Caenorhabditis elegans: one gene and its partner. The protein of the gene in region 1 interacts with the protein of each later gene in a pairwise test. Each region holds a gene or a part of one and is shown on either strand. Other genes may lie near its edges.

Region 1 (5,536 bases):
CAAAATTTTGTTTTCCATCTAAATTCACATCCGATCAAAATGGGGTGGATCATTTCATTTCATCTCTTCAAATCAAAAAAAAAATATAAAAAGTGTGAAAACAGTCCAGAAAGTAATAAGAATCCTAAAAAGATGTCTACTTCTTCCAACTCCTTCCTTATCACTGTTATCGGTAACTTTTCCATCATTCAATCACAAAATGATCAACTTCTTTTCCAGCATTCTTCGTCATGATTAATGTAGTTGTTACACTTCCGCTCATTGGAATTCGAGGTATTTAAATTGAAATTGTATTGTTAAATTCTTGAAATTTCTAGATGATCTCTCAACCGAATTCGTTGGTATTGGCCTCCGTGACGATGTGGCACTTCCCATACAAAAGCGCCGAGTTTCTCAAGAATCCCAATTCTGTGCTACACATCGAGAATCATATGATACCTACTGCAACAACTTTTGGACAGATCGTCCACAACGACTTCAAACCGCTTTGTTCACATTTTGCCCTGGATATGAAAACAAATGCCTTCACTAATTACTATTTTACATTTTTATTCTTAACACGCATGACTGCCTGAAAATCTCAGTTTCAACAATGGAAAACATATTTTACGGTTACAAAAACAAATAAATGTTATAGAGCTCTATTCTAATTTTGCATTTTTAAACATTTTACCAGCAACACAATTAAAAAAGTGGATATCAACAGTTAGTTGGCTACCGAAGAAGTATCACACAAGGATCGGGACGAGGGGATTGAGAATGGGATGAAATTGTTAAAACAAAAAATTATTCAAATGTTTCTTGGGATTTTTGGATCAAATGTTCCTCCAACTTCGACATCAGTCCATTTCAGTTCCTCCTCGAGCCAATCAATAAGTGTCGACTCCTTCATACTCAGAAACTCCGCAATCAATTTGTACGTGATTGTTGGTCGGAAAGCTTTTGTGATAATTCCGAGTGCCTTCTTTCTCTCTCGATCAACAAATAAATCCATTATGTACGGGCACATTCGTGGAGCATTCTGCAAATTGGAATTTATAAAGAGTTAAAAATTGTCAAATTCACAACTTGCCTTAAAAAGCCTGAAGAACTTGACATAATTATTCATAGTCACAGCTTTTCGAACATTCAATGCAAATTCAACACAGTCATTCTCCTTCAATTCCGGCGTTAGCTCACGGAGCAGCGCGTTGATATCAATTTGATTGTCCATAGCAATGTAGTACAACAGACGATAAGCTACAAACTCTGCCTGATTCGCGCAATTCTCAATTTCCGAGTAGAGAAGTTTCAACTGCGACTGGCACTTGTTAAACTCTTCTCGATCCGCGTTTTCAAGCGAAATTCTAGCATTTATTTCATAGACTTCGACTGTAAACTCGTTGCGAATCACTTGAACCGTCAAGTCTTGGCGAATCGATCTCATTTGACTTGTCAGATAGGAATACTCTGCTCTCGCACGATATTTGTCACGTACATTTTGAAGAGAAAGGCGCAAAACTTCCAGTGGCCGAACCTCCGATGGATTTGGAGCCTGGAATAAGCTTGGGTTTAATGATGCTGAAAAATGAAACCTATATAAACTTACAGCTGTCAATCTGAAGAAGGATTTCTCAATATTCTGGCAAGTTCCACGAATCACTTGTCCTCGTCTGAAATAGTGCTGAGGCACACTCACAGATGGCTTCGAAACATTGTACAAAGTTTCGGCAAAACGACGAGCACGATCTTCCTGTAAATACTTCGAGAAAATGAAAAATTCAGTTAATCCAACTTACCCTCCGAGCCTCAGTATCCCCTCCAGCTACCTTCCAAGCATTCTTGACTTTTTGCGGAGTTTGTTGTTTCTGCAGTTTCTTAGCCGCCTTTCTCGCTGCCTTTTCAGCCTTTTTCTGAGCCTTTGTCTTTTTCTGAATGGAATTAGTCACATTTAGTAATTTTAAAGATCTATTATAAGTATGAATTTCAGCAGAACTACTCAAGTTTCCGTGCCCAAATACACCACCCAGTTCCCTATCTAATTTTATCGAAACCTGATTCATAGAAGAAAAGTGCATTTTCTCAAGGGGATCGCTATTGTCAGAATCAGAAGATGCCCCATCACTATCCCGACGAGCCCGTTTCATTTGTCCTCCACCACCAGCGGCACCGCTGTTAGACATTTCATCACTACGCCGTCGCGATGGCGACTTTTTTCTATTAAATCCATTAGCCTGATGTGGAAGCTTATTAGCTGGCGTCCACGCTGGAGCTAGCTCATAATTTTTCTCGTGGGGCAACGGTTCATTGTCCCAGTTGACCATGTGAGCATTGCCTGCGTTCAACATAGGGAAAAGTCTCTTCTGAAGGTATTCTTGAGTTTTTTGACGATCTTCGACAGTGTTCGCCGCCTCGAAAGCACGTTCCATGTACCGTCTGAAAAAATAGAATGTTGAATAATTTTGCAACAATAAAAACAAAGATGATAATTAATTGAAAACTTACTGGGCTGATGGAGGTGGTGGCTTGGCTGGTCCTGGAGCTGGAACACCGCGTCCTCTACCAACTCCCATCAATGGCTGTGGACCTCCGCCCTGCGGTACGAACGTGCTAGTTAGATGCGGAAATGCGGACGAATTATTCTTTCTGTTCAAGGCAAATGGCTGAAACTGCTGAGGTCTCTGTTGCTGATTCCAGTTGTTGGCTCCTCCGCCACGCCCTCTTCCGTACCCGTTATTCCAATTCTGTGGTGGTGGTGGTGGTGCATAATTAAAAGATGCTTGGTTATAAGCTGCTTGAGCAGTTGCATTCACCGCCGACTGTTGTGGTGGTGGTGGTGGGACAATCGGTCCGCTGCCCCACGTGGATGGATGAAAACCACCACCGAATTGACCGTAAGCGGATGGGGGATTTGGGAACGAAAACGAGTTGTTCATCCAAGAGTTCTGACCTGTATTGTTGTTACCATTCGATGCATTCAGTCCTTTCGACATTCCACCTTGAATCTGAAATATTACAAATTGAAACAACTGTTCATATGAAATATTTACAAACCTTCATTAATGCTTCATTCGCTTTTTTCCAAGCTTCGGAATTTGCTCCTGTCTCCATTGGCACTGGAATTGACATAACTTCTTCTCTGTAAAGAAAAAGAAGAACTGAAGGAGATTAGGAAAAATCAATAATATTCGACAAAAAAAGTTCACGTCGAAAAGTTAATTCCAAATTAGCATTTATTTAGTACTTTAGTTTGAAAAAATGGTGCTGCCTACTTTTTTAAATAGCAACTATTTAATTTTTAGTTATTTTTGTGCGAAACATATCGACTTCGAACATCACATTCAGAATTAAAAAAGAAAATAACGAACCCCATATCTGAAATAGAACAGACAGAAATAACTATTTAGCAGAAAATTTTCAATTTTGCGTACAACGTTAAAAGAGTAAAATCAATAAAGTTTAACGGACCAGCGTTTTCGTAGTTTACTGGCAACTAAACAGAGCGCGTATCGATTTTCAACGGAGCGTCGTTGCACTATTATATTCTCTGGCAAAAATAAAATGTAAAGTGAAAGAATAATTCATGAATTAACGAGTTTTTGGAAATAATATTTTTAGAATGAAGAAATGGTAAGAATATGAGATAATATATAGTGACTCGAACACTTGACAATAATAACTATAAAAAGTATAAAAACCAGAAGAAATGGATTGTATTTGATTCTACAAACAAGGAAACAATTAACTATGAAAAACAAGAAAGAATTCTACTTTTGCTCATTTGTCTTCTTCCAATCCCGAAACTCTTCAATTTTCCGTTGCTGCGATGTCATTCCAGTAGCTCGAGCTGCCGATCGTTCCGCAATGTACTCGTCAGTCATTTTTGCTCGGAAGGCTGGATCGTGGAATCTTAATATGTTCTTGTTATTTTGAGATACATTAAAATAACCAGACTTTTCATATTTGCATCGATTAAAGAGTTCTAGAGCTGGTTTACACGTGTTCAAGCCAGAAACAGCACCGTCGGTTCGAAAGCAAGTGATGAGTCCTGAAATTGTTGTAGAAATAGAACTCTATATAATCGTGCTTTTATTTTTATGATTTCAATAATTCACAAACCTAAATAAGATTCGTTGCAATCCACTCTTTCGATTTGGGTATTCATTCTATTCGGAATAATCACATCTGCCTCGATTTTCCTCAAAGTCCGATCTTCTGGATCACCTGAAAACAAATATTGTATTTAAATGGTAAAAACCGCAAGCTGATTTAAAAATTACCTAATCCATGTGGTCCTCCAGCTGAATAATGTGGCATAATATTTTTCTTGACACGATATTTCTTCCCGGTCTTCTCGTCTGTCACAATTTCGCCTTCCTTTAAGGTTTCCAGGTTATCAGTGATATTCACTTTATTTTCCGTCATTCTAGCTGTAAATTTGAAAATTTATAAATGGAAATTTCAAGAGAAATCATGAGATTTACTAGTTTTAAAAGTTAAAATGATAGCGCCCGAGAAACAAAAAAAAAAGATCTTTGCCGTCTCTTATCTCTCACGCGTAGCAATGGAGCGCGACTCTAACACTGCAAAAAGTGAAATTTTCTACAGTAACCCTGCCATCTGGCGACATCTGAAAGATGGAAAAGGAGAAGGAATGTCGAAATCTGAAAAGAGAAACAAACATGGGTGTAGAAATTTCACTTATTCAGTAAGAACTGAGTTTCATAGAAAATGATTGTCATGGTTTTGTTTAATATCTTCGTTTTCGTCAATTTCTCATATTCGTTGGCTAATTTAAATGATTCTAGCATTTTATATTCTCAAGTTGTCTCTAATAAGTGTGCATCTAATAATGGTATATTCTGTGAATGTTCGAAACAAGGCGGAGAAATTAAGGTTCTACATTCAAAAAGATAAAAACCAATTCAATAAAATTTTGATGCAGATTTGGAATTGCATCCGTCCAGGAGGTTGGTCAACGTGGTCAAAATGGTCGAAATGTAGAGAAGGTATCCGAAAAAGAAGACGAACGTGTAATAATCCTTTACCAATTGGTACCACTTGTTCTGGCCAGAAAGTTGAGAAGCAATCTTGTGCAATTTCTTCAAATGTACCGGAGTATCTTTTTGGATCCTGGACATCCTGGAATCCATGGTCTCGATGCGATTGTGATCGTAGCCTGAGGATACGGTAGGTTCAAACAATTGGGAAATGTACAGTAACCCAAGTTTCAGAACTCGGCACTGCAAAGGTAATTCCTGCGAGGGATGTGACAAGGATTACGAAGATTGCCGCCCAGATGAGTGTCCAATTAGTAAAAAATGGTCCGAATGGACAGATTGGGTGAATTATGGTATGGGTCTCATTACGCTGAAATATATCAACAAATTTGTAATGATTTAATTTCAGGAATTGAGCAAGTACGGTTTTCAGCCTGGTGTTCGTCATCAAACGTGGCGAATACTGAAGTGGGAATACGGAAGGAGACTCAAGACTCAATGAAGCATGGTATTAATTTTAGTTAAAAAATTTCGAAGAACCATAACTTGAAGACTAA
Region 2 (5,963 bases), on another chromosome or scaffold:
AAGTCCCGTAAGCTTGTGGCTCTAATAAAAAGGGACCGTAGAGAAGCCCAGATATTTAAAATCTAAAGGGAAACTGTTTGACCAGAAGATTAGAGCCCAGTTGTCTTAGATTAGCCTAGTAAAAGTCCGGAAGCCCAGAACTCTCAAAATAATTACGAGCACCTGTAGCCCACAAGTGCCTAATTTCTGACTGTCAAGCTTGTCGACCCGTACTGTCAAGGAACTTTGTCCAAGCTCAGCTAGGCCCGTTCAAGCCCACATGACTGTAAACGCATTGGGATTAGAAGCCAGGATAGGATATACCATGATCCAATGCACCATGACCCCACGGAACCAGATAGTGCCTCCATTTACCATAATGTACAAAAAAAATTCAGCCTTCTGATGGTCCCGTCATACTTTTAGGCAAGCTTGGGCTCTCAAATGAGCACAAAATCCCAAAATCCCACTTTGTTTTCAACTCATTAGACGTTGAAAAAATGGAAAAATCAAGCTTCCTCCATTAAAAACCAATTCCAAAAAGGCGACTCCAAATTGAATTAGCTTTGCGCAGAGAGCATGCAGAGGAAGTCGTTCAGATGAATAGTGGTCAATATAAAGGAAGCGGGGATAATAATTATCGGATACTTTTCAACTACTACCGCTTGTTAGTGTTCGGCTAGTAATAGAAGTGCCAAAAAATCGTCGAGTGGAATTATAGCGTGTTAGGTCGTAAGGGGTAGAAACTCAAAGAAGGTGGATTCCTTTTAAAAAAAACCTTAAAATCTTGTTAGATCGGAGTAGCTTCATCTTAGGTTGGAGTAAAAATTCCACATTCTCAGGCCGGACTAGAAACCCCATAGGTCGAACTAGAAGCCTAATAGGTCGGACAAGGACTCTGCGGAGTATAACCCCCTAGTTCGGTAAAGAATAATCTTAGGTCAAAACAGTATCACTTTAGGTCGGAGTAGAATCCGCTTAGGTCAAAGTAAAATCTCGAAATCTTAGATCGGAGTAGAATTCTAAAATCTCAGGTCGGGGTAAAGTTTTTTAGGCCGGGGCAGAGTCTCAAACTTTTAGGTTTAGGGAGAACCCCTTGGGGTTGAAGTAAAATTTCATTAGGTCAAAGTAGGCTCCCTTTAGGCCGGTGTAGATCCTAGAGCTCCTAGATCGGAGTAGATTTCTAAAGTCTTAGGTCGGAGTAGAACCTCAAAAGTTAGATCGGAATAGGACCCTAAAAACATTAGATCGGAGTAGATTTCTAAAATCTTGGGCCGGAGTAAAGTTCTTTTGGATCGGAGCAGAGCGTCCTTGGGTTGAAGTAGAATCTCATTAGGTCAAGGAAGGGCCTAGAGTAGATCCTAGAACTCCTAGATCGGAGTAGATTTCTAAAGTCTTAGGTCGGACTAGAACCCCGTTAAGTCAAAGTAAAACCCTATTAGGTCGGATCAAAACCATTCAGGTCTACTTAGCACCTATAGGTCAGTGTAGAACACCCATAGGTCGGAGTAAAACCCCCAATTTCGTAGTTAAAGTAATTATCGTATACTTTTCAACTGTGCAACAAAGAGGGAACAAAAATGCGAAAAACTTTTGATTTGGTGTGAAAGTATACCCATTGACACACACACACATGAAGCTCCCGGAATTGGGGTCCCTCCTCTCTTTTTCTTCGTCCTCTTCCACTCTCTCTCTCTACCATTCCCACCCCATTTTTTTTCTTAAAAACGAGCGAGGCATCTTCTTATTCCTCACAGAGCCCCCCGACGCCTTTCTCTAGAAAAGACGGGAAGAAAACGACAATTGGATTATCCGGTGTCCCCCGACGGCTCTTTTCCACCCTATTCCAACAAACACACACACACACACACCCAGTTCTCCACACATATCATCATCATCATCATCATCATCATCACCCCGAAACTAGTGTTTTACTAAAAAAATGAGCCATTGTGCGGCTTGCTCTGGCGCCAGGCTTCAGGCCCAGACTGTGCTTAGGGTGGACCCGGAGTCTGAGTATTTTGAGTGTGAAGCTTCTGCGGTGAGTGATTTGGGCTTTCTAGGTTCTAAGCCTAGTCAAGCCCGGCTTTTTTATCCTCTTGGTTTGAGTCTACCAAGCCTAGCTAAACCCGGATCCTTGATCCATCCGTTCTTGGAAACCAATAATTCGAATTAGATTTCCCATTGACTAGCCTAGACTTATGAAGCCTATCATTGTTGAGCTAAACTAGGCCCGGTACCTTGAAACTTCCCGCCTAGTCTGAAACGACAACTGACTGGACCGGGCCCTTTTCAGCTTAGCCTGAATCATATTTATCCAAGTATTTGCCCATTTAGGCCCGAATTTTTGGTCCGATCAGCTTATCTTATTCCTTATTCCAAATCAGGGCTCTTTTCACAACAGTTTGCTCAGCTAGGCCATATAAGCCAGAGCCGTCAAATTTTCTAATGACTAGCCGGGATCCTTGATCCTTTCAACTCAGCCAAACTTTGATCGGAACCCTGCCCTCCCCTTGATTACCCCTAAAACCTCAAAATTTCCAGATGGAAGGTGGCTCAGGATGGACAGAATCATTGGAGAAAGACTTCGACAAAGCATTCGTCTCACTGGATCTCCTGCTAGGAGAAGTCGACTCGGACCAGGTAAGAGCTTAGAACTTCAGGCCACCTGATCAAGCCCAGGTCCACAAAATCCTAACGTATCCAGGTTGAGATCACCTACGAGGGCCGGCAGAAGATGACGTCATTGAGCGCCTGCTTTGCACAAATGATGCACAAGTGTCAGTTCATGATGCACACAATTAGTAAACAGGAGAAGGTGAGTTTAGGCTTGCTGAAAAAAGTTGGATTGTTAATTTTTTCAGGAAATGATAACAATGCGCGCCGAGGTCGTGGAAGCCCGCGCCGCTCGACAGAGCATGGAGAAGGAAGTGGAGCAGTTGATGATCCAAGTTCACTCATTACAATGCCAACTGCATTCCAAGACGGCGCCGCATGAGTCAGACATGATTAAGAAGAAGCTGGAGACCCAGCTGACACAGTTTCGATCAGAGCTTACACAGGGTTTGAGCACGGTTTGTGAGCTGGAAATTGCAAGAAAGGAGTGTGATCGGTCAAAACGGACGATTCAGGCCTTGGAGACTGAGGTCTTCGGGGCCAGGCTGGCGGCAAAGTACCTGGATAAGGTAGGCCATCGGGCTTTAAGGCTTTAAGGCTTCAAGGCTTTACATACCCTAATCTTCCAGGAACTCGCAGGCCGGATACAACAAATCCAGCTCCTGGGACGAAACATGCGCGGCGTGGAGCACGACAGGCTCTGGAACCAGCTGGAAGCCGAAATTCACCTCCACAGGCACAAGACAGTGATCCGGGCTTGCAGGTAGGCGGTCACGTTTCCCATGGCCGCTCCCCACTTGAACAATTTGCCATTCTTGCAGAGGACGGGGTAACACGAAGGGATTAACGGCGCCACTTCGTCACAACTTCAAGAGCCTCCGAAAACGAAATGGAGTGGGAAAGAGCAGGAAAGTGGTGCTCTCGAAACACCCGCACGAAGGGCTCGGCATTTCTATTACGGTAGGTGGGGGGACTTGGATGGTTTTGGGCCAGTAGATCATTGACTAGACTTGTTCCTTTGGGGATCCACGGGATCCTGTAAGATCTGAGAGTTGATCCAGTTCCCGTAAGACCAAATGTGCCATCTGATTATGAGGTACTTTTGCACGTGGTGTCAGGCTGTCCCATTGCGGTTTGATCTACAAAAAATGCGGGAATTTTTCTCCCAGTCAGTTGAAAAGTCTGCGTCTCTTTTCCCGCATTTTTTGTAGATCAATGTAGATCAATCTAAAATGAGACACTCTGACAACCCCTGCTTTTGTAGTTCTGCTGCATAGCTCAAAACTACTCCAGATAGTTTGCGGAGCTCCGGATGGATCCTAGTTCTTCAAGATCTTAAAAAATCCTACTGGATCCTAAAATCCATTTCCAGGGAGGATCCGAACACGCTCTACCCATAGTGATATCTGAAATCCAGCCGGGACAGCCTGCTGACCGATGTGGACAGGTCTTTGTGGGCGACGCGATTCTCTCAGTAAACGGCTACGATCTTCGGACTGTCAAGCATCAGGAGGCAGTGGATATTTTGAGTGGGCAGGTAAGATGCTGCCAGGGGCCCTCCACCTACATCCCCTCCAAATTCCAGGTACAGCAAGGCGACCTAGACCTGGAGCTCGTCTTTGTGTGCCCCGATGAGGATAGTGATGATGATGGGACGGTGACGATCGAGCACAGCGATGGATCTATGTGAGTTATTGGGAATTTTTCGGCGGGAAATTTGAATTTCCAGTTAGTTTTTAGCGGGAAATTTAAATATTCAATCGATTTTCAGCTGGAAATTTTGATTTTCTGTTAATTTTTGGCGGGATTTTCATATTGCCAGTTAATTTTAGGCGGGATTTTTAAATTTCCAATTGATTTTGAGCTAGAAATTCAAGTTATAAGTCAGTTTTAGGGAGGAAATTCAAATTCTCAGTTAACATTTAACTGGAAATTTAATTTTTTAGTTAATTTTTCAACTGGAAAATCAAAATTTTGGTCATTTTTCAATAGAAAATTCAAATTTTTTGTCGTTTTACTATAGGAAATTCAAATTTTTAGTCAATTTGCGACAAAAAATTCTAAATTTTCTGTCTATTTTCGGCAAGAAATTCAATTTTTCAGCCTATTTTTTGGGGGAAATTCAACTTTTTAATGAATTTTTCGGCGGGGAATTCCAATTTTTTGTCGTTTTTCTATAGGAAATTCAACCTTTTAGTTAATTTTTCGACGGGAAATTCAAATTTTCGGCCAAATTTCAACAGAAAATTCGAATTCCCAGTCAAATTTTTAAATTTTTGTTTTAGCTACAACCTCTACAGTATGGAAGAGCCCACGTCAAGCCGATCGTCCAACAATTCTGATGAATCACGCAGCACGTGACCTCCAAAATGTGGAATTTTTTGACGGGTTTTATTTAATTTTTTTTTCAAAAAAAAAACTTTTTTTTGTATATTTTCCCGTGACTTTCCTCCTCCCCCTAATTGCCACGTCATTTCCTCCAACTCATTGGATTTTTTTTTGGCTTTTTCCAACTTTTTGCATAAAAATCTTTTATTGTTTGAGTTTATCGATTTTTCTTCCGCAAAAAAATCAATAAATGACGTGTCAACAAATCAATCGTCTTACTGCTGTCTTCAATACGGCAATGTCCAAGGCGCTGGCTTCCGATGAGAAGGACGACTGGATTACCCATTTGAAGGCAATTTCGAATGTTTTTACGCAGGTAATATGATCTTCCGGTCGGGCGGGAATTTGAAAATTCTGGGAGAAATATTGATTTTTTGGAAAAATGTCAGTTTTCCGGCAAATGTCATTCAAAAAATTATTGATTTTTCGTCGCACTCCAACGACACTCCGATATTCCGCTGACTAAAAGTAGGCGTGGTCAGGCGGGAATTTAAAAATTTCGCTTTGAAAATCAGTAAGAAATCATCGATTTTTGTGAAAATTGTTAGCTATCCGGCTCGAAATATCGAAAAACGGTTTGAATTTTGTTTAGTATAAAGTTTCTTTAAAATCCCGGTCGGGCGGTAGTTTAAAAATTTTAGAAAAAATCGATAATGTATCGACTTTTCGGTATCCCGGTACAAAACTGTGGCGGGAATTTGAAAAGTTTCCAATAGTTACTTCAAAACTCCTTTTTCTCGGTTATTGAAAACTTGGCAATGACGAGAAAAATCGATAATTTATTAATTTATCACAAACTATTTTTCCAGGTTTGCACTTTGTCCGCCAGTGAAGAATCCGCTAAGAAATTGGCAATCAAGGAGCGTGAGGAGTGTCTCCAGGAGCTCGTGGAGCTTCGTGCCATAGCTGAAGCCCATGATGACGTCATCCAGCAGTTCCACTTGTTGCTGGCCGCGAATCATCAGGGAGACGCGACTTCC

What was found.
Region 2: the proteins of hpo-10 (region 1) and gopc-1 interact in a two-hybrid assay, tested with the Caenorhabditis elegans proteins (one large-scale study listed by BioGRID).

The regions. Positions count from the first base shown.
Region 1 is NC_003281.10:5,877,427-5,882,962, reverse strand, and holds hpo-10 (SAC3/GANP/THP3 conserved domain-containing protein), read right to left. Parts: upstream 3,458-5,536; 5' UTR 3,353-3,457; coding exon 3,348-3,352; intron 3,138-3,347; exon of another isoform or gene 3,119-3,137; coding exon 3,034-3,118; intron 2,985-3,033; coding exon 2,485-2,984; intron 2,416-2,484; coding exon 2,034-2,415; intron 1,911-2,033; coding exon 1,779-1,910; intron 1,733-1,778; coding exon 1,589-1,732; intron 1,535-1,588; coding exon 1,073-1,534; intron 1,022-1,072; coding exon 791-1,021; 3' UTR 533-790; downstream 1-532. Other genes in the region: F01F1.14 (uncharacterized protein), read left to right, coding at 40-172, 220-273, 318-532; F01F1.2 (COX assembly mitochondrial protein), read right to left, coding at 3,747-3,888, 3,934-4,027, 4,099-4,203, 4,260-4,404; mig-21 (Abnormal cell migration protein 21), read left to right, coding at 4,711-4,875, 4,925-5,169, 5,214-5,332, 5,389-5,487.
Region 2 is NC_003279.8:14,184,854-14,190,816, reverse strand, and holds gopc-1 (Golgi-associated PDZ and coiled-coil motif-containing protein), read left to right. Parts: upstream 1-1,849; 5' UTR 1,850-1,921; coding exon 1,922-2,020; intron 2,021-2,523; coding exon 2,524-2,622; intron 2,623-2,686; coding exon 2,687-2,797; intron 2,798-2,843; coding exon 2,844-3,164; intron 3,165-3,224; coding exon 3,225-3,358; intron 3,359-3,416; coding exon 3,417-3,555; intron 3,556-3,967; coding exon 3,968-4,132; intron 4,133-4,180; coding exon 4,181-4,281; intron 4,282-4,880; coding exon 4,881-4,956; 3' UTR 4,957-5,189; downstream 5,190-5,963. Other genes in the region: ZK849.1 (PDZ domain-containing protein), read left to right, coding at 5,222-5,299, 5,793-5,963.